4 linked regions of the Saccharomyces cerevisiae S288C genome follow. The protein of the gene in region 3 interacts with the protein of the main gene of each other region in a biochemical or structural test. Each region holds a gene or a part of one and is shown on either strand. Other genes may lie near its edges.

Region 1 (5,571 bases), on a different chromosome or scaffold from region 3:
AACTGTTGCATTTGATGTATTTTGGGAAGACACTAAATATGGTCCATTTTTCACAGCACAAAGAGATAAATTATAGTTTTGGTTTAGTTGAACAGAATCTTCGTACGAGTAAACATACAGATCGTACAAGGATGGATCATATATTGAATAATTGTGATAAACTTTGGCGTCTGCGGTGACATTCCCCGTTGATAGTAATGCAGAATTCATATCAGTGTCCAGGACCTCTACCCAAGGCCTTACATCCCACTGAAAAACCAAATCGTTCTCAGAGATACTCAGTCTATATTCCCAATTTTCAGAGGCGTCGGAACTGGACAGAGGTTGCTCCGTAGTGGAATTCACTAGCTCAGCGACCACATAAAGATTTGAATACGTGGAGGTAGCGTTCGAGCTAGAAGACTGCACTGGACTGATGGCTAATGCTTGGATGTAGCCATCCTGAAAAACTGCACTTTGACCTATATTTGGGTTCTCTAAAACCGTTTCATTAAAAGAGTAGTATATTGTTAAATCCACATCTGATCTATTCATGGGCATTTGGCATATATTGCCGCTAATAAACATTAACACTTCATACGTGGGAGCAAACCCATAACCGGAGGCTTCTGCGTCAATGGTAAATACAAAACTGTCTTTTTTGCCCGCTGTTATGTTAGATAAGATCGGGGTCCATTCATAAATGCTATCCGAATTGATGATTGTTTGTTGACCAGTAGCCATAACGTTTTTCTCCCATCTATTTAGGCTGGGAAACTTTAAGGAAATATTCTTATTTGCGAAAGGATTGAAGTCTTGGAATAAACCGTGAATAGAAGTGGTAAATAGGCAGTAAACCACGAATAGTGCTTGCCACACTATCATCCTTAGAAATAATACTGCCGCTGGACAGAAATTGTAGTGTTACGGGTTTTACTGCAATTCAGTATGGCAGTTAAGCCAGTCAAGTATTTGAGAAATAGCCAAAACGGTACGTCAGCCGGTCGAAATTATTAGGGAAATTTTCCGCAACCAATGGCTCAGTTTCAGTAACCTGTTCTTGAGAAAACAACACGTTTACTTGTAGAGTTACTATTGCGGTCCGATGGCAGCGAAACTATATCATTATTATATTATGTATGGCTTCTCAATTTTGATCTTTTTTTTTTTTGGTCAGTACGCGATTTTGAAAGAAATGGAAAGAAGCTATAAAGAGCACAGGATAAATATCTTTTCAAAGCTTGAATAATTTTATAAAAGGTGTAGGAACAGGCCCGACATACAAGAATGTCGACAAGTACAGAGAAGAGGAGCAAAGAAAACCTTCCATGGGTTGAAAAATACAGACCCGAAACGTTGGACGAAGTGTACGGACAAAATGAGGTGATCACCACAGTTCGTAAATTTGTAGATGAAGGTAAATTGCCACATCTTCTATTCTATGGGCCTCCAGGTACCGGTAAAACTTCTACAATTGTTGCTTTGGCACGTGAGATATATGGTAAGAATTACTCGAACATGGTTTTGGAGCTGAATGCATCCGATGACAGAGGTATTGATGTGGTGAGGAATCAAATTAAAGACTTTGCCTCTACAAGACAAATCTTCTCTAAAGGGTTCAAGTTAATTATACTGGATGAAGCAGATGCCATGACCAATGCCGCACAAAATGCGTTGAGAAGAGTTATAGAACGGTACACCAAGAATACGCGGTTCTGTGTATTGGCCAATTATGCGCATAAACTTACACCTGCGTTATTGAGTAGGTGCACGAGATTCAGATTTCAGCCCTTGCCCCAAGAGGCCATTGAGCGTCGGATAGCCAACGTCTTGGTGCATGAGAAGCTGAAGTTGTCTCCTAATGCGGAGAAGGCCTTAATAGAACTTTCTAATGGGGATATGAGACGTGTGTTAAACGTTTTGCAGTCTTGCAAAGCTACTTTAGACAATCCCGACGAGGATGAGATCAGTGACGACGTTATCTATGAATGCTGTGGGGCACCCAGACCAAGTGACTTAAAGGCAGTATTGAAGTCGATACTGGAGGACGATTGGGGTACCGCCCACTACACACTTAATAAGGTACGCAGTGCCAAGGGTCTCGCGTTGATCGACCTAATCGAGGGCATAGTGAAGATACTGGAAGACTACGAACTTCAAAATGAGGAAACAAGAGTGCATTTGCTTACCAAACTGGCCGATATAGAGTACTCGATATCCAAGGGTGGCAACGACCAGATTCAGGGCAGCGCGGTCATTGGCGCCATCAAGGCCAGCTTCGAGAACGAAACTGTTAAAGCCAACGTATAATCGACGCAAATATGTATAGATACAATATGTACAGAACAACTGCATTGTGCAATATAACAACATAACACAACGCCCAGAACGAAATAAAAAAAATAAAAGAAATAGATGAAAGCATTTTCAATTTGCATACCGGAAACCGTAAATCAATTGGCGTCTAGCTAACAACTGAGAATGCGAATCGCCAAATTGTTACAGAAAGTAGCATTCCGTTACGTGATCTGTACTTTAACCTCTTGGACGTAAAGAATGGCAGAACTCTGGCTCTAGTGTTCTGCGAATGCCAGATCGGGAAATATTTCCCAAAAGGGCAACAGCGGCACGAACAAGAATTTCGTGTTAAAAATCGCGTCCGGCGCGAAATTTTTCGCGGAGGCATGCGACGCAAAAGCGACTCGAAATGTCGGGAGCCAAATGAGGCTACAAGGCTGTGGGCAGATTTTGGCGTTATTATGGAGAATAAAAGGAATGGTAGCTTCCATATAGCGATAGGAAAACATATATAAGGTCAATAGGCCTACATGGTAATGGGATTGATAAGCTTGTCCTTAACTCTTGTGTCTTGGAATTACTATTGCGTACATCAGCAATCATCCATTGTCAAGAACAAAAACGATAACAAAAACAATCAATTATACAAATAACAGTAAAGTAATAAAATGTGTGAATACAGCAAGGCTCTTCATATTCTGCTCAAGTCGCCAGTAACGGATGACATAATAAAATTCTTAACAGACACAACATTGAGGGTTGTTCCTTCAAGCAACTACCCCACGCCTCCCGGTTCTCCAGGAGAGAAACACCTCACAAGGCTGCCATCGCTAATGACTTTTATCACTAGATTGGTCAGATACACCAACGTCTACACACCCACTCTGCTCACCGCTGCGTGCTATTTGAACAAATTAAAGCGTATTCTGCCCAGGGACGCTACTGGTCTCCCCTCGACCATCCATCGCATTTTCTTGGCCTGTTTGATACTGAGTGCTAAGTTTCACAATGACTCTTCTCCTTTAAACAAGCACTGGGCTAGGTACACCGATGGTCTCTTTACACTAGAGGATATCAACCTTATGGAAAGGCAGTTGTTACAGCTGTTGAACTGGGACCTCAGGGTGAACACAGAAGATTTGATCCTAGATCTGCAGCCTCTATTAGAGCCCATCAAGCAAGACTTGGCAAGATCCAGCGACCAAAGGAAGAGAATTAACATGATGATGTCCATGAACAGAAGGACTTGTGCTGGCACGAGTCCTATCAGATCAAACAACAGATTCAAACTCTACGAAAAACAGAGAAACGTGTCGATAGCATCCGATTTAAGTTCTGCTACTCTAGTCGACAGTTGTAATGATCTAAGAAGGCTAAAAGATGTAACCAACATAGCGAACAACACAGTCGCTAACACGAATTACGTCAGGACGGTAGAGAAATGGAACGACAATGTCAACAGGCAAAGTTGGGATCTGGAACAGATCATGAGTCAACATGGGTTTTAATGTGGTAAACAAGATGGCCCTTACGGGGCTCTTAGTGGGAGAAAGATTTTTAATAGAGCATAATTAACGGATACATAATATATTATAAATTTAAATAATCAAGGATACCTAATAATAATAACAATCAACTGAACACAACATTAAAAATGGTATTTGTTATTGTATGTTAAGCCCTAAGTGATTGTGCCGTTATAACTTCCATTCGGGTGATACCTGCAATATGAGGAAGAAAAAAGATAAATTTTTTCTTCTTAAAGTATAAAAGGCGGACATATTTGATTTAAATGCAGAAGTTTTCTCTCAGTGGTTTATGTTTTACATATGATAGAAAAAATGAAGCAATAGCAAAGTATCGTAGTGCGAACCGGTCTCGTAACTTTGATAAGTTTATCAAAGGCGTTAACATTTTGTTTCGTAATAGTACCTTAACACATGACGAAGATGAAAATTAAACATGAATTCAAGGAAAAATGGTAAATGACGAGAAAAAAGCTGTGCACCAGTCTGAACATGGATGCCACAAGTACTCAGGTGTCCTATGAAGCATTAAGTATACCCAAATTTCTGATCCATTTTCCTTTATTTTCTTTTTTTTTTTTCTCTCACATCTGTGACTGTATTATGAGCAAACTGTTTACGTTGAACGGAATCGATATGTAAATTAAATCTTTTGAAATATGTAGGACAGTGCTTGTATAGGTCTGTTAAGTAGATTATAGAATGTACGCCTTTTTTCTGGGCGTGAAATAGATCAGAAATCCTGTTAGGTTGCCACTGGTCCATTTCAGTGTTGCTCATCCAATCAATCATGTATTTACATGCCTGGAGTGGCCTATTCTATGTATTAACAGCCTTTGCAAGACGCGACATTGTTCTTTCCGATATGGCTCGGAGTAGACTAAATATGCTACTTATAGTTTTTCTTGCGTATACCATTGTCTTATAGTTTTTGCACACATTAATGTTTAAAATTGAAACTACGAAGCAAAACAATAAAAAAAACAAACAAAACTTAAAAATAAACAAAAGACGCTCGAAACCAAGTGCATTTATTGAATGTTTTTGGGAATGCAAGTAGCAATACTATTGTAAAAGTACTACTATTTCCCTGTATCATACGCTTTTACTACTATTCCTCACATAAAGCGAGATGCTTACAGAATGCATAAGAGAGAGAAGAAAACCCTATTACGCCCACTTGTCTATATTAGATTACTGTCCCTATTTATATCATCATTGCAAAACGTGAGCACCTCATTAGACGTAGATTCTTGCATAAGTATTACTAGCAGGAGAGGAAAAACTCCACCCACACACCTCAACATGCTGAGAATTTTGCTGCGAGCAGCAAGAGGCAAAATCCAAATTTAAAGTAATTTACGCATAGAAGACATTGTAAAGGGATTGCAAAGACGTAGAGTACGCAAGTTAGAAACCGTTCATCTTTTAAAACTCCCAAGTTTTGACAAATTTGCGAGTGTGTGTGTTTCTGCTGATCTTGACGAGATTAAACTTTGTTCCTGAAGCAACAACGACAGCAACTGAACATCCTCTGAATAAGTTAATATGTTTTCCGCTCAAAAGCCAATATATGGCAATGGAGCAGGCGTGAACATGGGTGGTGGTGGTCCTTCAACTAATAATCCAGGATCTATGTCCATGCCTGGGGTTCCAACTTCAATGGGTCCAGGCATGAATCAACAAATTCCAAGTGGAGGCCCCATGCTAATGGGCAATACTCCGAATAATAATAATAGCAATGAAAATGGCGAGAACAACGGCAATA
Region 2 (5,887 bases), on a different chromosome or scaffold from region 3:
GGGTGAAAAAAGTCTTATTTTGTCTTAAAAGGGGTTCCCCCAGCCGCAAAAGAAAAGAAAAGAAAAATAATAGATCAATTTTAGTTTACTTAGCAATAAACGAATATATGTATTTTATGTTAAGTTCTCACTGTTTATACCCCCTTTTCAATTTTATAAAGATCTAAGTAGCAGCCACGGTTGGACGATCGGAAGACGAAGCAGGCGGAGGTGGGACATCATTGGTTTCCGCATTGTCTTGCCCTTCCTGCACTTGCTCCGCTGGCTCTACTGGCGCTGGCGCTGGCGCTGGCTCTGCCAATGCTGCTGGAGGTGGGTCGCGCGCATTGGTTAAGTTGTCCTTGACCAATTGTTTAATTTCTTGAATCTTAGAGACGTAAGCGGGCTTCACTATTATCGATTTGCCCCTCAAAGTAGCTGTCTTGGCCACACTGTCACAAATGTCCCCAATTGGGGTTTCAGATTGCAAAGTGACCAAAGCGGCAGTAATTTGGTGTGGAGCAAAAGGAATACACTTTCTCCTGTACACCTTGGACCTGTAAATCCAGATTTCTTGAGGCGAGTAGAGCTGGAACAACTCACGGATCTCACTGTCGGTTATATCGTCTGGCAGGTCGTGACAGTAAACCGTATCCGCGGCAGTCTCTGGTGTCTTCTTAACCTTATTTTTTTCTTTGGGCTTCTTTACATCCGTGTCTGGAGTAGAGTCTGCCTCGTAAGGAACGTGTAACTTTAGAAATAGTTTCTGATTTTGGAAAACGGTTCCGTTCAAGTCTTGAATGGCCTTCAAAGCCAGAGTATTGTTTGCGAACTGGGCAAATGCTATGCCTAGTGGTTTGCGAGGGTTGCTATTGTGCCTTTTGCTGAATCTGCGGACGGTCTGCGTTGGAATCAACACTGAACTGGCGCCATAGTTGTTTAGGAAGGCATGTAGGTCTCGCTCACTCGCCGTGAATGGCAGGTTCGAAATGTAAACTGTGGTAATGGTAGTGGTAGTGTCACTGGTAGTGTCATTGTTAACTTGTTCTGTCATTGCGGGCTTGTTTGTATGCTTATGTGAGGCCTTATACTTCTCTATGTGTTGCTACTCAGTAGAAGGTCAACACCATTGTTTTATACATCATTTATCTTTTGTTATTAATTTGTGACGCTTCCATTTTGTGGCACATAAGGAGGAAAAAGAAAATTAAAAGAAAAAAAAAAAGAAATAAAAAAAGAAAACGGTACTGGATATTGAGATAAATTTTCCTTCAATTAAGATAATAAAACATGTTATATAAAATCAGACAAAATAATATGTAAATTTTTAACGTATTATAATCTTAAAAAGTTTATTTCTTGGCAGCAGCCAAAGCCTTAGCAGTGCCGTGTAGGGCATGCTTGTGGTTTCTTCTAAACTTTGGATCAACACCTTTCAAAGAAGGGTACTTGTAGGTCTTTGGCTTCTTGATACCGTTTCTGTGAGCCTTTCTGGTTTGGTTGTGAGCGGTATGGTTCTTAGACTTAGCCATTTTCTGGAGAAGACGATGAATGTACGCAGAAATTGCGAATGGTCATTAAAGGTTAGTAAAAATGATTCATAACGGTGGAGGGGAGTAGCGTGGCAGCTAACTGCCAATCTGAAGTGGTGCTAGCGGGGGCAACTTCGAACAAGGGTATGCTAAAGGTAATTGAACGTTCGAGAAAGAGCGTTCGCTATAAGTTCAAACACTGGTAACTTTCCATTATTTTCCCTTCTCTCTTTTTTTCTTTATATCCTCCACTATATGCCACTCAGCGCACCTCAGATTTGGCTACCTGCATTTCCAATGGGCGAAATGGGGACTTCATGATAATATAACGTACTTTCTAACTGTATTGTTGTTCCGGGGTTCTTGAATATTGAATGAAAAATGTTATAAAATAATGGGTTGAATCTTGAAATATGCAGTATTGAAATATTCTGAAATTGTATGTATCCAGAGATTATGGCAAAGCCTAAAGGGAAAATGGTAGACTTCCTACATTGAGAATATCGCTGGTTTTCCCGAGCGCGGCTAGCGACCATTTTTCTTTGTCCTTACAGAACTAAAAAAAAAAAACCAAAAAAAAGTCGAAAACAAGAATACATGCGCTGTATGGGTCTAAGAGTATGTACGGATGTAAAAGAAAACAGTACTAGACAGAGCGCATAAAAAAAGCCTAATCCCTTTTCCGTCTGTATACTTGTGCTCCCTTATAAAAAAAATTAAAAATTAAAAAATAAAAATAAGAATAGTGTATAAAATTATTTTTGCTTTGATTTTAGTTTATTTATTTACTTTCTAAATACAGTAGGTTAAATAAGGATCGGTTTCTTGAAGAAATTGTAACAAGACTCAGAATAAATATGAATATAGGGAATATGACGGATAAACAGACTACTTTAATTTGTCAAATAATCTAGGTGCCGTGGCAGTGTCCAAATAGTGCTGTAGATGGAAAAACTCCTCCACACAGTCCTCCTTGTGTTCAAGATCCGCGTAGCCGGGTTGTTGTTGCTGTATCTTGACTCTCTCAGCACACTCCTCGTAGTGGTGCACAAGGGCCTTACCCTCCTCCGTGTTCTTGAAATGTTCTCTCAAATCTTCCAACTGATCAGTGACTTCTTCCTCTTCTTCCTCATCTTCGTCGTCATCATCATCATCATCTTCGTCTTCGTCTTCATCCTCATCTTCATCCCCATTTTCTTCTTCTTTTTCTTCTCCTTCTGCTGCCTTTTCTTCATGCTGCTCGTTATCGTCATCTTCGGCCGCGGCCACAACAGGCACAACGGTTATCTTTAGTTGTTCCCAGTACTCACCAACTAGTTCCAACATGCCCATTTTCTATTTCTTTTTCTTTATCCGTGTGTGTAGGTGTAAGTGTATATGTGTGCTTCTGTTAATGTGAGTGCGTGTATACAATATGTGCAAATAAGCGCCAACCAATACTGCCCTTAAGACTGAGTAGGTCCTAATCTCGAAAACCCGGTGTGGGCCACTTTCCAGCAAAGCGCCTCTTATAACAAGCACCGCGCAGGGGAGGCGCGCCCCAGTCCGATATGCCCGGAACGTGCTTCCCATTGGTGCACGGTCACGTGCTCACGTTCTGCTGTAGGTGACGGATGTACCGGCAGGCCGCCTCCACGGTGGTCGCTTTGGACGGCGCGGCCGACACATTTTGCTGTTTCCACTCCGCGGGGATTAAAGACGCCAGTTCGTGCAGCGCGACCGCTAATCGATTACGCCGTGCTTGCTCTGCATGCTTGTGTGATTCGCGCTTGTCATCGTCCACGAGCGCGCCCGATGACCGTCGCTTACTCAGCGACCGCGAATGGCTCGATCCGTGCGGCGCGATTACAGGAGACTCACTTGCTACGACCACGCCTTCTGCGCTGCTGCTGGTCTTGGCCGTGACCGGTGATACGCGTCTTGTGCTGTTCGACGGCAGAATAACTTTCGGATATTGCTTTGGTTTCGGTTTCGGTTTCGGAGTTGGGATAACGCTGTCGGGCAATTCGAACAGCGAAGTGGCCGAATCCGGCCCGGGTTTACCTCTGCGCTTGTTCAAATACGGACTACTATTACTCTTGTTTTTAGTGACTTTGTTAGCGGATGTGGTGGAAGTAGCAGTAGCGACCAAGTTCGGCGAAATGGTTACGGGAACCGCACTTTGCGTGTGTATTAGCGGCGAATATAATAGCCGCGGCTTGATTGTAGCAGTTGTAGCTGGGGAGTGGTGCGCATGCGAGGGCATCATCCAGTCCATATCCATACCTTCCACCAGCTCAAAGGCGCGGTCTAGGTCGTCCAACGCGAGACTGTCTTGTTCATTTTCATTCTCGTTCCCATTCTCACTGCTGTTGTGGTTCTCTTGACTGTTCAGCTCGTCGTTTTGCTCGTTGAAGTCCTCGCGCCCATCATGCCGTTTCGTGTTTACGGTGATAAAGTCTCCGACTTTATCAAGAATGCTGCTCTTGGGCTCTAGATCGTCCACAAAACCGTGTATTCCCTCAGAAGTTGTACGGCCCATGACTTTCTGCTACTCTTGTTCTGTCTCCTTTGCTCATCTCTTCTCTTCTGGTCCTTCCGAAGCATGACTTCTTCCCTGGTTATATACATTTTTCTATGGTCAAGACTCATTTGCCAAATATTTCCGTGCGAGCGGCCGGGTCAGCCTTTCGCCTACCACATATTAGGCGAGGCAAAAAAAAAAAAAAATAGAAAACGAGAAAATCGCACTTGCAGCATAGGAAATACTTGCACACAGACATACACATACACACCGTACGCAAAGAAGGCAAGGCAGCAAGAAAAACTGTGGGAACGTAGAAATGAACGTACCTACGGCGCCAACTCCCAACAAACATTTGAACATACCTGATTTGAGGTTCGAGAAAGTGTTCAAGAAAGCTTTACACAGGGAATTGGCACCCTCATCGTCTCTCTCACGGAAGGCGGGTGTGATTACGAAAGTTGTGGTTCGCGATGTCCTGCTCATGCCCTTATTGCAGAGCTTTGTTTTGTCACTCGCGCTCATGGGTGTGAAGGAATGGTTGTCTTACATACGCTTGAAAGGACGAACCCTAGGTGACCGCATTAGACAGAGACTTTTTCCGATCTAAATAATGCATATAACCGTATCTTTTTTATATGAACCTAGTTTTGCTGTATAAGAGCCGAGAAAAAAATATAGGAAAATATAGGAAAATATGCAAAATAGAAACACGAATTTTTTTTTTGTTAGAGAAAAAAAGAGATAAGCCCTGTAGGGGGCTCGAACCCCTAACCTTATGATTAAGAGTCATACGCGCTACCGATTGCGCCAACAAGGCATTTTAATCTCTGGCTACTCGGCACTAAAAGATGCACCACATCCGATGTTTAGGCCGCACCATAATTTTTTCTTTTTCCTGTCTCTTTGTCCTTTCACATTGCACAAAAGTAGAGGAATAATGGATGGATCTAGGATGTACGTATATATGATATTAGCGGTCTGAAGAGAAAAAAAAAACAGCAACAATAACATCGCACTTGATGATCAGAAGGGCCCCTACCACCTTGCAGCTCAGTCACGACGACGTAACCTCTCTGATCGATGACCTGAACGAGCAGAAACTCAAGCAGCAGCTGAATATCGAGAAGACAAAATACTTCCAAGGAAAAAATGGCGGATCGCTGCACTCCAATACAGACTTTCAGGACACATCGCAGAATATCGAAGACAACAATAACGATAACGATAACGATATCGATGAAGATGACGACATGTCATCTTACAACGACAAAGCAGCCTCGGTAGCGCACACCAGAGTCCTCAATTCCTTGCATCTGTCCACCGACAGCAATACCGCCCACGAGACGTCCAATGCAAACGACAACCACAACCCCTTCTACATCCGCGAGGAATAATAGCATATCCGCATACGCACACGCACACGCACACGCGCACGCATCCACATTCACTTTCACTTATAAAATTTCTTCTCTCTAGTTTTATATACGTTGTATTAGAAATATAAAATATGACAATAGTACACTTTGTAGGCTCTCTTTTTTTTTTTTTTTTTTTTTCTTATATATTTTTTTACAATGACCACGGTTTGTACACCTGGGGCTGCAATTTTGCAATGGAGTCGCCTTCGCCTACTTCCTCGCCTTCCTTGCCTACACGTTTCACGCCATGTCCTGTGGCCGTATTGCCGTCTTCGTCATCGCCCTCCTGGTCCTTCTCCACTAGTTGTATGCCCGAGTCTACTTGCTCCGAGATCAGTACCAGTTTCTTCGACACATTCAACTCCTCCAGCGACTTGTTCAGGTCAAGAATCTGTTTACTCAGTGATAATCGGTCGTTCAGCATCTTTTCAGATTCCTTCACATATTTCAGT
Region 3 (6,033 bases):
TATTAAAGGTTTGGCAATGATCTGCTGGTCTAGATCACTTGGGTTTTCTTGTTCAAACATGATTAACAACGGATCAAAACAAATTCTGGAAATCGCCAGCTTCCATTGTTGTGATAGAAACTCAATTGATGAGAAATTGCACAAATTGATTTTTATGTTGGAAAACAATTTAGCAAACAGTTTTTCAAAAGTGGTTAATAATGTTATAACGCCTGATGAATATTTCTCAGTGCTGGACTTACTTTCGCCGAGGTAAATCGTGTTCTCCTTTGCAGTACTAGGAAAGTGTTTGAAATGGTTTGGACCGATTTGACGAATATCCAAATCAGTCAAAATACTGAAAACGTTTACATGCGGAGATTCCATCGATAATTTGACAAACGGTTCCAATTGGATGAAACCACTGCTTTCTAAGAAAATTTTGGTGTTCGAATCGATTATGGACGTTAACTTGGACGCTAACGAGGATAATTCCTGTAAAGATGGAGCACTCATGATGATTATGTCGAAGACGGCTTCACTTGATTTGGAGCTCAAAGCTTCAGTCAAGTGCTCGATAGAGGTGAAATGATTTTCCAATTCGAACCGGTCTTTGCCGTAGTATTCAGTTTCAATTTCAAATTGACATGATTTTGAATCGTTGACGTGGTAGAGGTCTATATTCTTGGCCAGTTGAAACCTTGAGGTGTAGAACAAGATATTCGGGTTGTTCCCAATAGCTAAAACTCGAAGTGAGGAAGACGACATAACTATAACGTGTGTGAGGGCGAGCAAAGCAATTAAACGAAATTGATCTTATTGGTGAGCGTCAGACTGCTGGAGTTGTGTGTTATAAAATGAAAGAAAAAAAAAAGGAAGTAAAACCAGGGAACGAACCGATAACTATTTCTCCCCTTTCTGTTTGTTCTTGGTTTTGCTTGCTTTGTTCTGATCAAGACCAAAAATAGCTGGGTGGCTACGAATAAGAAGGCCAAGATTAGAAGTGTGTTACTCTCACTAATTGACTGTTTAAAAATAAATAAACAAACAGGTTCAAAGAAACGAGAATAAACAAACAACGAACGCCAACGGAAAGAACCGACGTTGTGTTTGCGTTTACGTTCTGCTCTCTCACTTGACACAACACGAAGACCGAAAACAGCTTGGGAAGCATTCACCGATCGTTATTCGAGAGGTTTCCAGTTTCCTTTTTTTTTTTTTTCACTCGCGGTATAAACGAATGAAAAAAAATAAAAAATTTTCATGTTTTTCCGTTCCGGAAGACAAAGCCTGTCCGCCTTTAAGGCGGTAAAAGCCGTCGTAAAGGCTGTCGTAAGATGAGACTAAAGTAATAGTAGTGTATTATAGATGATTATTATCATTATATATACATGGCTACGGTTTTTCGCTGACGGGCTGCGTTATGAAGCGTGGTGGTAGTACTCTGCAAACCAAGGGTGATGCAGAGCCTGCTTGGCGCTCAGCCTCATATCCGGATTAAGTTGCAAGAGTCCGTGTAAGAAATCCATGAGATTCCCGTCTAGCGGTTCTTTGGTGTGTGGTTGCAATACTTGACGTAGGTCTCTTGGTGGTCGTTGCTGGATATTTGGGTTGTATTTGGGTAACTTTGTTACACTGGGCCATAGGGACTCATTAGGAGTGCCCATGATGTCGAAGATCAATTTCAGTTGTTCTTCGTCGTTGGTGCCAGGAAACAAAGGCTTACCCGTTATCATTTCCGCAAGAATGCACCCACACGACCATATATCAATGGATGTGGAGTACGTCCTAGAACCCATTAGCACATCAGGAGCACGGTACCACAACGTTACGACTTCGCTTGAAAATGTGTTGACCGGAATACCGAAAGCACGGGCCAGACCGAAATCACCCAATTTCAACTGGCCTCTCTTGTTGATTAATAGGTTTTGAGGTTTTAAATCACGGTGGAGAATCTTGTTTTCATGGCAAAAGGCCAGCCCTTGCAGTAGTTGCCACTGGAAGTATTTAACCAAGTTTAGTTCTAGCCCTCTTGGTGTGTTGCCCACGGTGCGGGAATCCATGTATTTCTTTAAATCGTTGTCCATGAATTCAAAAACCAAAGTCAACTTGTTCTCTGTGTGAATAACGTCATAAAGTCTAACAATGTTCTCATGTTTCAATTCTTTCATTAGGGAGATCTCACGGATGGCCGTAGAGGGTGTACCTTCCTCTGAATCCAGTTTTACCTCTTTCAGGGCAACATATACCCCTGTGGTTTTGTTCAGTCCCTTGTACACTGTGGCATACGTACCATTGCCAAGCTTTTCTAACTGCTTAAATCTGTTCATAGAGCTCGAGGTTGATTTTTTCTCGTATATATGTTAGTATTCATCATTTCTAGTTCTTTACTTTCCAATGATACTTGACTAGAAAACTACATACTGTGAAGAAGAAGACATTGGTATTGCTCAAGTTTGCCCAGTTTGCCGCGCTATATATCCCTTATCTGCAATTATACGCTATATGGTAAAACTGGATTCCCTTTGTTATCTTTCAATTAGAAAGCTACGGGCTTACGAGTCTACGTGTATGGTGATTTGTACGGAAAATGAACTGCACACAGAGGACAAGCAAAGGGTCTAGGATAGATAGAAGTAGCGCATCCGGCCTGTCTATCCCTCCGTGTCTATCAATTCATTTAACGTGTCTGGACGGACTATGGTAACTACTTTTTGCGTTTTTGCACCTTCTTCCTGTTTTTTTGGTTTTAGTAGTGCACTTATTCTTCACTTTTTTGCTCTGCATTGTTAAAAATTTCATTTTTTGCATTTTGGAAAACCCGATGACATTATTCTTTGAAATAAACCATATCATTTAGAAAATGCGATTTCCATTACGCAAGATAGACAACGCATTTGGTCCGATTATATTGCTATCTTGTGATACTTCTCCTTTCTCTCAACAATGACTGGCGACGGTAGTGCACATATTTCTAAAAACAATCAAAATCAACACAAAGATCGCTTCAAGTTTATTGTGAATGATAAAAGTATTCTAGGACCTCAATGGTTAAGCCTTTACCAAACGGATGGGAAAGTAACATTCGCAAAGTCCCACTTCGAGCAAGCAATGATGAACGTTATTAGAGAACCAAATATTAACTCTACTGTCATATTAAGAGCGGATATTTTGAAAGAGATCAATCATGCTGCAGAAGCTGGGTCTGAGCCAAAATTTGACGAGTCCGTATTAAAAAAGTTTGAGATCGATAATGGTAATGAAAGCGGTGAAGAAGATGTCAAGAAGATAAATATTGAAGATTTAAACATAAGGTCGTGTGAAACATCTGAGAGTTTAAAATTGTCACCCGTTCATGAATTTGTAAGAAGGATCATTCCTAGGAATTTTTACAAAGATGCTATCATAAACCAAACATGTTTAATCCTAAATAGCAAAGACCCTAATTTTCAGGAGACCTCATTGATTGTATATACGCCGCACATTAACTCTGAGAAAGACTGTCCGTTTTATATTCCAAGAACGCAAAGTGTAGGCATTTTGTTACACCAGTCAGTTCTTTCTGTACACTACATTCCCTTCCCCGAGGATAAAACTGCCTTTACAGATGAATCTGAGCGTGTTGTAAGAACCGCTTATAGGTTATTACAAACTGCTAACAAACACTCAAAGGGTGTGATGCAGGGTTATGAAAAGAGGGTCAATCACGATCAAGTGGTAAATAAAGTCAATTTTCAGAACACATACATTGTTTTGAAGAAAAAATACTCCAAGTTCCTGGTGGAGAATTGGGCAGAGTCTACAGACCCAAAAAAACATGTTTTTGAAGACATAGCCATTGCCGCTTTCCTGATTGAATTATGGATTAAAGTGTACGGTCCAGACTTCCGTTCAAAAATGCAATTTAGAGATTTGGGATGCGGCAATGGTGCTCTTTGTTATATTTTACTGAGTGAAAGTATTAAAGGTCTCGGCATAGATGCAAGGAAGCGCAAATCGTGGTCTATCTACCCGCCTGAAGTGCAATCATCGTTAAAGGAGCAAGTTATAATACCTTCTATCCTTTTAAGACCCCATCCTGCTTTGAAAAGACAAGTACCTCATTTGGAACACAATGGGAGATTTTTCCCAGTCAAGGTGACGCACGAAGTGATTGCCCCCGCAACCGTCGTGTATTCAAGTGAGGACTTACTAAAATCTCCGCAGGTCAATACAGCAGAGTTCCCACCAGATACTTTTATTATAGGTAACCACTCAGATGAGTTGACTTGCTGGATCCCATTACTAGGTCATCCTTATATGGTTATACCTTGTTGCTCTCATAATTTTTCTGGCCAGAGAGTTCGTTTTAACGTAAGGAAACGTTCGCCTAGGTCAAATGAAATCAAAAACCAGAATAACAGTAAGAGCACCTACTCTGGTTTGGTTGATCACGTTGAATATATTTCATCTCGTGTAGGCTGGAAAGTAGAGAAAGAGATGTTAAGGATACCAAGCACAAGAAATGCAGCCATCATAGGTGTAGAAAATGCAACCTTAAAGCATTTTCCAACGCAAGCAGTGTACGATATGATTTGGGAAGACGGTGGAGCTGAAGGGTGGATTCAGAACACAATGTCCTTATTGAAAAGAAACCCAAGAAACCATTAAATAGATGTATCATCTATTATTTGTATGTGCGTTCATTTATAGACTAATTAGAATATCATACGTACATATAAGACTATACAATTTATCTAATTTTTTCATTTTTACTTAAAAATTGATGGTCCATCGTAAACAGCGTTAATAATTTCTTCGCCCGATGCATAGACAATGAGAAGCCAAAATGCAGAAACTTGATACTTTCAAAGAAAGAGGTTCAACTATGAAAAGAAAGAAGATTTAAGTGCCGATAGAGTATACTAGCATGGCACTTGTCAAATACAGCACAGTTTTTTTTCCACTCCGATCATTGCGACTGTTTGTGTCCATCAAGAAAGCATATTACCACAGCGAGCCGCATAGCATCGATCTATTTCATGATAAGGATTGGATTGTGAAAAGACCTAAATTCCTAAATTTACCCAAAAATGAACATTCAAAATTAGATATATTCCAGTTTAATTTTAACAAGTCCGAAAGCAATAATGTGTATTTACAGGATTCATCATTTAAAGATAACCTTGATAAAGCGATGCAATTTATCTATAACGATAAATTGTCATCCTTGGATGCCAAGCAAGTACCAATAAAGAATCTTGCTTGGTTGAAATTAAGAGATTACATATATCAACAACTAAAAGATCCGAAACTGCAAGCCAAAACCTATGTACCTTCGGTAAGTGAGATCATACATCCTTCATCTCCTGGCAATTTGATTTCGTTGCTGATAAATTGCAATAAAATCAGCAATTTAGTCTGGAAATCTGTTCTCAAATATAGCCTGAGTAACAATATAACTACATTGGATAAATTTATCCACGTCCTGCAACAGACCTTCGACCATGTGTACGAGCAGGAGATACTACCCATGATGACGAATACAGATGATACAGATGGCGCTCACAACGTTGACATAACAAATCCAGCAGAGTGGTTTCCGGAGGCAAGAAAGATTAGAAGACATATAATCATGCACATTGGGCCCACGAATTCAGGCAAAACTTATAGAGCGTTACAGAAATTGAAATCCGTGGACCGTGGGTACTACGCAGGGCCGTTAAGACTGCTAGCAAGGGAAGTGTACGATAGATTTCATGCAGAAAAGATAAGATGCAATTTACTGACTGGAGAGGAAGTTATTCGTGATTTGGATGATAGAGGAAATTCAGCAGGGCTGACATCAGGCACAGTAGAAATGGTGCCAATAAATCAAAAATTTGACGTTGTTGTTCTTGATGAAATTCAAATGATGTCTGATGGGGATCGTGGCTGGGCTTGGACGAACGCGCTTTTAGGTGTCGTTTCCAAGGAGGTCCATCTTTGTGGTGAAAAGAGTGTTCTACCTTTGGTTAAGAGCATTGTTAAAATGACTGGCGATAAATTAACGATTAATGAATATGAGAGGTTAGG
Region 4 (7,272 bases), on a different chromosome or scaffold from region 3:
TCTTTATATGCCATTATTTTGAAAACCTAAGTGAGAAGTAAGTTTCACACTTCATTTGAGAAACGATACACCTGCACTGAACGATGATCCCAAAAATCGTTCCGACAAATACAGACAAACAATTTTCTTAAAGATTCAAATTAGAAACATACTACTCATATGAAAGAAAAGATGCAACGGTTAGTATTGGAAGAATGACGATGAAACACTTTTTGTTGTTTAATAGGTTTTAGCTATCCATTAGATCAGGAGAAAAGTCACCAATGTTAAATATGTCGAATGTTTCTGTATCCATAGAAAAAGAGCCATTTAGTTGTTGCTGCGAGTTACTGTTTTGAACTTTTACGGTACCCTTACCGCCACTGTCCTTTGGAGTGACATTGATGAAGTTTGTAGCAGCTGAATCACCATTTTGTTCCAGTTTCTTAGATTTCATAACTTTCTGAGCTGCAGCAACTTTTCTTGATTCCTTGGTCTTTGTTTTACCCACTCTCTGTTTCCGCTTGGGTTGAATTGTTGTAGTTATATTAGGAGTTGTGCTGGAGCTAGAAGTACATTTTGATGATGGTTGTGATACTGTGGGTGTATTATTACTATTATTATTATTATTATTATTATTATTATTATTATTACTATTATTACTATTATTATTATTATTATTATTGTTGTTGTTGTTATTGTTATTGTTATTGTTAGGCAAAGGAAAGACGGAGGTAGAATCATTTTGTGGTACTGAAGTATTGGTTTTATAATGTTGTGGTAGATGAAATTGTTGTTGCGGAGCGAACGCATGCATTGCGGAAGAAACATTTTGATATAAGGGCTGCATATTGATCATAGGGTTTTGTCCGGATGGATTAGTCTGCCTCATACCTGGATTTTCAATGACAGGAGACCCCATATTTCCTGGTTGTAATGGCATAGTGTTGTTAGCTGGCGCTATACGATTAGTGTCTGGAGGAAAGGCACTATTTTGTAATTGCTGGTTAGCCGCCATTCTTTGCATCATCATATGCATGTACTGCTGTTGAGATGTTATATCACTAACAACCGGATTTGCGACAGTGCTTTGATTTTTCATTTGTTGAGGAATTGTTTTCATCTTATTGAAGCGGGCTCGTATGTGTTCTTGCAATAAACTATTGCCATTTGCGTTATTGTCATTTGTGGGCGTAGTTTCTTCCGCAGTATTGTTACGTGTATTAGATTGATAATTTTGATTTCCAAGATTTTGCTGTAGTGAATTTTGCTGTAGTGCTTGCTGCTGAAAAAACATTTTCATAGCGTTCATGTCATCAAACCTGCCAGATTGGCTTTGCTGAAAAGATGGCGCCTGTCCTTGATTTTGGTGGTGTAATTGATATTGAAAGAAGCGCTGCTGGTCTGAAAACATTGAAGATTGGGTTTGTGCATTAAATTGTTGATTTGTAGGAGGCACTGAAGGCATAAGTCCGGTTGAATGAGAATTTTCCGATGGAATATGAGGGACCATTTGTGGGTTGACAATAGGATACGGTGTCTGTTGCTGCTGTTGATGTTGTTGCTGTTGCTGTTGCTGTTGCTGCTGTTGCTGTTGCTGTTGCTGTTGCTGTTGTTGTTGTTGTTGTTGCTGTTGCTGTTGCTGTTGCGGTTGATGCTGGGGTTGATGCTGAGGCTGCTGGATCTGCTGTTGAGATGATTGCTGGGGCTGTGCTGGTGATTGCAAATCATTGAAGTGTTTATGTAGATTTATAGTTGCGTACTGCTGCCCAGCAATATCACTGTTTATAGCAGTATCAGGTGCAAAATTAGCGCTATTCTGTTTGTCGTAGACACCGGAAGTTCTCGATAGAAATCTTTCGGAGACGTTTCGATTGGTTGGATCGTTTAAATTAAAGTTACTTCCGTCACCATTGGGCCTAAAACTCTCCTCTGAAACTGGAAAACTATTTTGAGTTGGTGGAATCACATTTGGTGGGAGATTAGAGAAATGGGAAGGCATATTAGATTTAGAATTAGCTGGCAAAATTGGTATTATTCTCTCTCTTAAAGGATTATGATCCTGTTGGTACCCAGATTCTAGGTCTCCATTGAACAATGATTGAAAAATTTCCCACCATTCCAGTAAAAACGTGTCATTAGCGTCCATCAGCATTTTCGAAGGTAATAGCCCATCTTCACTAACAATGTCACCCTTAGATGCAATATCCATTAATCCCTGCTTCAGGCTGGCGTTCAAGCTAGTTTTCCCACCCGAAGCAGATCCGTTTATTCTAGATAAAGGAAGGTCAGCTTCGCTTAAAAATTTTGCGGCAGAGTTCCAGTAATTGTTTTTGATTAAATAGTTATAAATATGGGCGTACAATAATTGCTTAGAGTTCTTAGCCATTACATCCGAAACGAAAACTCGAGAATCCGCATCAAACTGCAACTGAGTATGGCTATTCAAACCTTTGATATTGGGAGCTGAGCTAAAATCCGTGTTACTAGAGCGCTCATTTGTATTAATATTGGTCGTGTTATCCATATCTTTATCATGCACCTTTTTCTTATTTCACTGCAGTTTAACGAAAAATTGACAAAAGAACCGGGAGATACCAAAGGGAAAAACCAAAAGAGTCACACAGGATTGCAATAGAAATCTTTCTGGTCTTTTCTACTATGGTGATTTTATTATACCCCTCCTCTTCCTGTTATACACGCATTGTATTTCGGCATTGCCTCTTGGCCGCTTTTTTCACCTGACGTAATACCTGTTGCAGCAAGCGAGTTTCGTGTGCGTATAGAAAAGTATTTACCTTGACATTTCGAAGAAGTATGTAATTACCAAATAGCTCAGAAGAACACTTGGTACGTAACAATCATCGTTTACCTTTTTCTTCTATCAAAAAATTTTCTTCTTTTTTTTTTCCTTCTCTTTTCTTAAATAAAATTGAAAAATTGTTACTTAGTACTTCATAATTTTACTTAATATGCAGTATGGATCGTTATAAATAATATTCGGCTACAAGAATCTTTAATCTTCGAATTCATCTTCGTCGAATTCATCGTCATCGAATTCATCGCTTACTCTTGAATCCAAATCTTTATCGTCCATTGAGTTGTGGGGTAGCTGATTGCGCCCTGTTTCATTAACACTTTGCTCCCTTCGTGATTCGGTATCTGAATTCCCAAGTGAATGTACGTCATTTGAAACGTTGATCTTTGAAACAATTCTTGTTGGAGCGCCGGCCTTTGACACAGAGAGCTTTTTGAACTCTTTATCGATACTAGTCGCGGCTGCAGAAGATGCTCTCCTTGATTTAGTTCTATTGTAATTGGAGTCTTCATCATCCATATCGTCTAAATATCTTAGTTTTGGCGATGCAAGTGGAGAACCTAGCTCCAAATATATTTGTTTTCCAATGTCCCCTTTGGACATTGTAGATTTATTGGGCGTGGATCCTGAGCTACTATGGGAACTCACCAGGTCAGACGCATTTTCTACATCAGACGAAGCGGCTAAAACTTCGTTGTTATTTGTGCTGCCGCTCACATTTCTTTGCGGGGCTTTAGTGACCTTGGCGGTTTTGACTGAATTTGCCCTATTTCTACTAATGTTGCTTTGTTGTGATACGTCAGTATCTTCATCGATGTTATCAGAATCATCATTGCTAATATCCGATAAGTTGTCGATGTCGACTAACGGGTCTCTCCAAAAATTTACGTCTGTGAATTTCTCTTCCTGATTGCCTCTAAATAGCGTTTTGCGACCTGAAGTAATTTCTGAGTCAAAGTTATCCAACGTTCTATTAGGGGGGGAGCCAGGAACCATGGAAGTATTAGTTCTTAGATCGACACTATCAAGGCTGACTGGTGGAAAGAAATGATCGACAAGCTCATTGATATGAATATAGGAGCTTCTGTAACCTGCTAACTCCAATAATTCCATATGAACCTCACCCTCTGTATTTATTGTGAAAATTCTTGAACTAGGTATCCCCACAGTTCTGTAAGATAAAGCATCAGTAATCCTATTACCAAAGCCGGCAAAAAATGGTGTTGATTTTTCCTCTGTATCCACTTCGTTATCACTGTCTTCAAAATACAAGGATCTTATGTCGTTTAGACACGCGATTTTAAAGACTTCAGGTTTTTTTAGTATTACTTCCCGCCTTAACGCAGCCATCGTTCTATCGGGTGATAAAATCACAGGCCCATTTGGTAGTTTGCTGCCATTCTGTTCAATTGATCGCAAATAACTCCTCGTGGAATCAGCTTGTCCAGCACTTCTTGCAGTTAGATAGAGTATATTATAGCCATTCCTGGAGATCTCGCTAAATAACTTGGCTACACCCAAGTGCGTCCAGTCTTTTCCTATCATTGCCAGAACATGGCCTAAAGCGTCCGATTTTGTGATGGTGCCATCAATATCACTGATAACAATTGGAACATCCCACCTCCAAACGAATAATTTTGACGTAACAATAGCTTTTCCGTGATCTACGGAAAATTTCAGATCATTTTCACCATAAGTTAAATTTAGGCACTTTAACTGGTCATTAGTCAATCTTATCGTTCGTATGTATCTTTTCTCGGTCTCACCGCTCCCTGCTGTTCCTTTCTTGCTAGTTTTTTCACTTTTACTGCTTTGTTCTTTGCTAAATGATGTTTCGTCCTCAGTATCGGAACCAGAAGGTGAAGAAGATAACGAATTCAAAGTACTTCCTGATTCCATTGCATCTAAGCCTAAAACTGATCCGCTTGTGGCCATTGTTGGAGGCGTACCTGGAGGAGATAAATCAGTAAGGTGCTCGTAAGGATTTACGATCTTGATGTTGCCATTTTTGTCCTCCTTGATAAAACTGGAAATATCTGAATCATTACCGAATTCGTCCTTTAACAACTGCTTCAGTTGTATGTCTGTGTCATGCATCATATTCTTGTTTGGCTTGTAACCTTCAGTGTCTAGTAGTAAGTCGCCATTGTTATCAAGTTTACTGGGTATATGGATTTCAGTGAGTTTTTTGTTTAGTTTTTGCTGAAAGTTCTTTGTACGCTGCTCAACAAGCTTCCTCTCTTCAACTGAATCTGGTGGTGTCGTTGTAGAGGATTCAGTAGGAGAAAGCGACCCTGTAGTTTCACTATTTTTACTGCCTGAATCTCCAGTGTCATTGATATCTAAAAAATCTGGTTCCTCTAGCACTTTCTTTTCCTTCTTCTTATTTTCATTTTCACCTTCACCTTCACCCTCGGTTCCTCCTTCTAAGATGGATGTTTCAGGTGATTGAGGGGGGCTTGATGTGGCGCTCATCACGGGCGACACAAGCAATTCGTCAGGGACATCAGTGACCTGGTCACCCATCTCGAAAACGAAATAGGCTTCTCCAGAATCACTCAGTTTCATTGGCATATTACTCAGTTTCTCATTTATAAACACTTGGACTTTCTTTTGAGATGGCTTTAGAATTTGAAATTTGCCGAACCTCACATGAAAGGGAGAACATGATAGCCTTCCGTCTGGATGCTCCACTACAATGACATCTATAGCACCTGATAGCGTAGCCGGATTGATAGAAGACCATGTTTTAGACACAGACCCAAGAGCTCTGCCTACGTACTGCATAATCGACCGATGTGTCTATCTTCAGTAATTTCTTCCCTGTATGTTTCTTAGAAGGTAAAACTGTGATTACGAAGGTGTAGTGTCCAATTGGTCTGATTAACACTTCTTGAACACGTTTTACTAAATTGTTGAATGTATTTTCTTTATAAACACAAGCCCCCACGATGGCCTACTCTTCACTTGTCCTTGCTCTTCCTTCTACCCTCACCGTGCGCTGCTTTCAACGCTGGCCGGAAAAGCCGAGAAAAAGAGATAGATAATAGAGAAAAGAGAGCCCATTGTCTAAAGGGAGGGAAACCGAAGGACGAAAAGGGCCCGCGACAGACCGTTTAGAGAATGAGCAGCACGTGGGCACTTCGATTTTGTCTCCCAGTGATGTAGTGTTATGATATACAAGATGAGTTTGGACCCTGTTCAAGCAAATCTGTCACATTTGTTAGACTTTTTTTTAAACGAGCCCTCCAAACAAGAACGCTCAGTGTTAGGAACTGCGAACGAAGAGAGAAATGCGTATTAAACTTAGATGAGTATTCTTGCCGTAAATGACTATATACAAAACTTATTCGGAAGAACCTATATCTATGTATGTGAAATGATAAGTACAAGACCCACTGTGATGTGCAGTGATGGCGAATAGGGTGAGGTCCCTTGTACTGTCTTTATTGTAGCCGCTTGTAGGAAAAGTTTTATCACATAAAATTATCCTCTAGAGAGTTAGATGAGCCAGAAATCAGGCTCTTAGTCCGTTGGAAATGCGTTACTTAATCCGCGTAGGGTCATTTGATACAGAAGCAACATTATACTGCTCTGAACACTTGTCCAGACGAATCTAGGGCCAACGCCACTAAAGAAACCTAACACACCTTCAGATTGGTAGACCGTCCGAAGGCTGAGCGAAATCGAGTTGGAAAGTGCTGCCGGTCTGCCGTTTGTTACATGTGGATGTGTTACTGAGTATGATTTGTTGCTTTGGCTGGGCGGCTGTTGAGTTTGGACTCTAGTCTTAACAACATCCATTGGTGTGGTAATGATTCCCGCCAGTCCACCTGCACAGGCACCAGTCAATATTTCATTAGGTATAGACAACTCACCATCCCTACCATCTTTCTGTTCAATCTTGAAAGCCAATTGCCTAAACTTTTCGTAGAAGGCAAACTGCAATGCACTAAATGGCAAATCTCTGGCTAAAGTGGCTTTGTATCCAAAAAATAGTGAGCGAAACCCTTCTTCTTTTATAACTGTCTTTATGGCATTTCTTAAATTCGAATAATTATAGCCAGATTGAAAGAAAGGATTATTGAACCTTCCTTGCAATTGTAGCCTTGTCTTTAGGACCTCTGATGGAACATAAACAAAACTGGAGATAAAATCGCCAAGAAATCCAGCGCTCAAATGTGTGATGGTATCGTTAATCTGCCAATCTTCTATCATTGTTCTCTTAGTATATTCATAGGTCCCAAAGAAGATTGCCGCTGACGGGAAGGAGCCTAACATGGCAGCCATGTAACCGCCGTATAGCCCCCTTCTCACGCCTTCTTCTAGCCAAATGGTACGATATGCAGAGATCATGTTCCTGTATTTTTTGACATTGGGTGCGCCCTGTTGTCTTGTCTTAACAGTATCCAATGAATGCATCGCAGAATCTCCTATTTTTCCACCAATCCCACCGGAGACGACACAATGCCATA

What was found.
Region 1: the proteins of PHO85 (region 3) and PCL1 form a complex in vitro, tested with the Saccharomyces cerevisiae proteins (4 studies listed by BioGRID, with this or other methods).
Region 2: of the proteins of PHO85 (region 3) and PHO4, one has a biochemical effect on the other in vitro, tested with the Saccharomyces cerevisiae proteins (14 studies listed by BioGRID, with this or other methods).
Region 4: of the proteins of PHO85 (region 3) and PAH1, one has a biochemical effect on the other in vitro, tested with the Saccharomyces cerevisiae proteins (9 studies listed by BioGRID).

Annotation. Positions count from the first base shown.
Region 1 is NC_001146.8:84,952-90,522, forward strand, and holds PCL1 (Pcl1p), read left to right. Parts: upstream 1-2,945; coding exon 2,946-3,785; downstream 3,786-5,571. Other genes in the region: MID1 (Mid1p), read right to left, coding at 1-864; RFC3 (replication factor C subunit 3), read left to right, coding at 1,267-2,289; CCR4-NOT core subunit CAF40, read left to right, coding at 5,352-5,571. UniProt on the Saccharomyces cerevisiae protein: G1/S-specific cyclin partner of the cyclin-dependent kinase (CDK) PHO85. Essential for the control of the cell cycle at the G1/S (start) transition.
Region 2 is NC_001138.5:221,927-227,813, forward strand, and holds PHO4 (phosphate-sensing transcription factor PHO4), read right to left. Parts: upstream 4,033-5,887; coding exon 3,094-4,032; downstream 1-3,093. Other genes in the region: RRT5 (Rrt5p), read right to left, coding at 164-1,033; 60S ribosomal protein eL29 RPL29, read right to left, coding at 1,332-1,511; MIN10 (Min10p), read right to left, coding at 1,784-2,047; QCR6 (ubiquinol--cytochrome-c reductase subunit 6), read right to left, coding at 2,400-2,843; YFR035C (uncharacterized protein), read right to left, coding at 4,195-4,539; YFR035W-A (uncharacterized protein), read left to right, coding at 4,334-4,624; anaphase promoting complex subunit CDC26, read left to right, coding at 5,037-5,411; RSC8 (Rsc8p), read right to left, coding at 5,587-5,887. UniProt on the Saccharomyces cerevisiae protein: Transcriptional activator that regulates the expression of repressible phosphatase under phosphate starvation conditions. Binds to the upstream activating sequence (UAS) of several phosphatase encoding PHO genes.
Region 3 is NC_001148.4:490,618-496,650, forward strand, and holds PHO85 (cyclin-dependent serine/threonine-protein kinase PHO85), read right to left. Parts: upstream 2,421-6,033; coding exon 2,404-2,420; intron 2,302-2,403; coding exon 1,401-2,301; downstream 1-1,400. Other genes in the region: SVL3 (Svl3p), read right to left, coding at 1-747; TRM44 (tRNA (uracil) methyltransferase), read left to right, coding at 2,926-4,629; ATP-dependent RNA helicase SUV3, read left to right, coding at 4,889-6,033.
Region 4 is NC_001145.3:587,045-594,316, forward strand, and holds PAH1 (phosphatidate phosphatase PAH1), read right to left. Parts: upstream 5,585-7,272; coding exon 2,996-5,584; downstream 1-2,995. Other genes in the region: MSS11 (Mss11p), read right to left, coding at 230-2,506; MME1 (Mme1p), read right to left, coding at 6,323-7,272. UniProt on the Saccharomyces cerevisiae protein: Mg(2+)-dependent phosphatidate (PA) phosphatase which catalyzes the dephosphorylation of PA to yield diacylglycerol. Required for de novo lipid synthesis and formation of lipid droplets.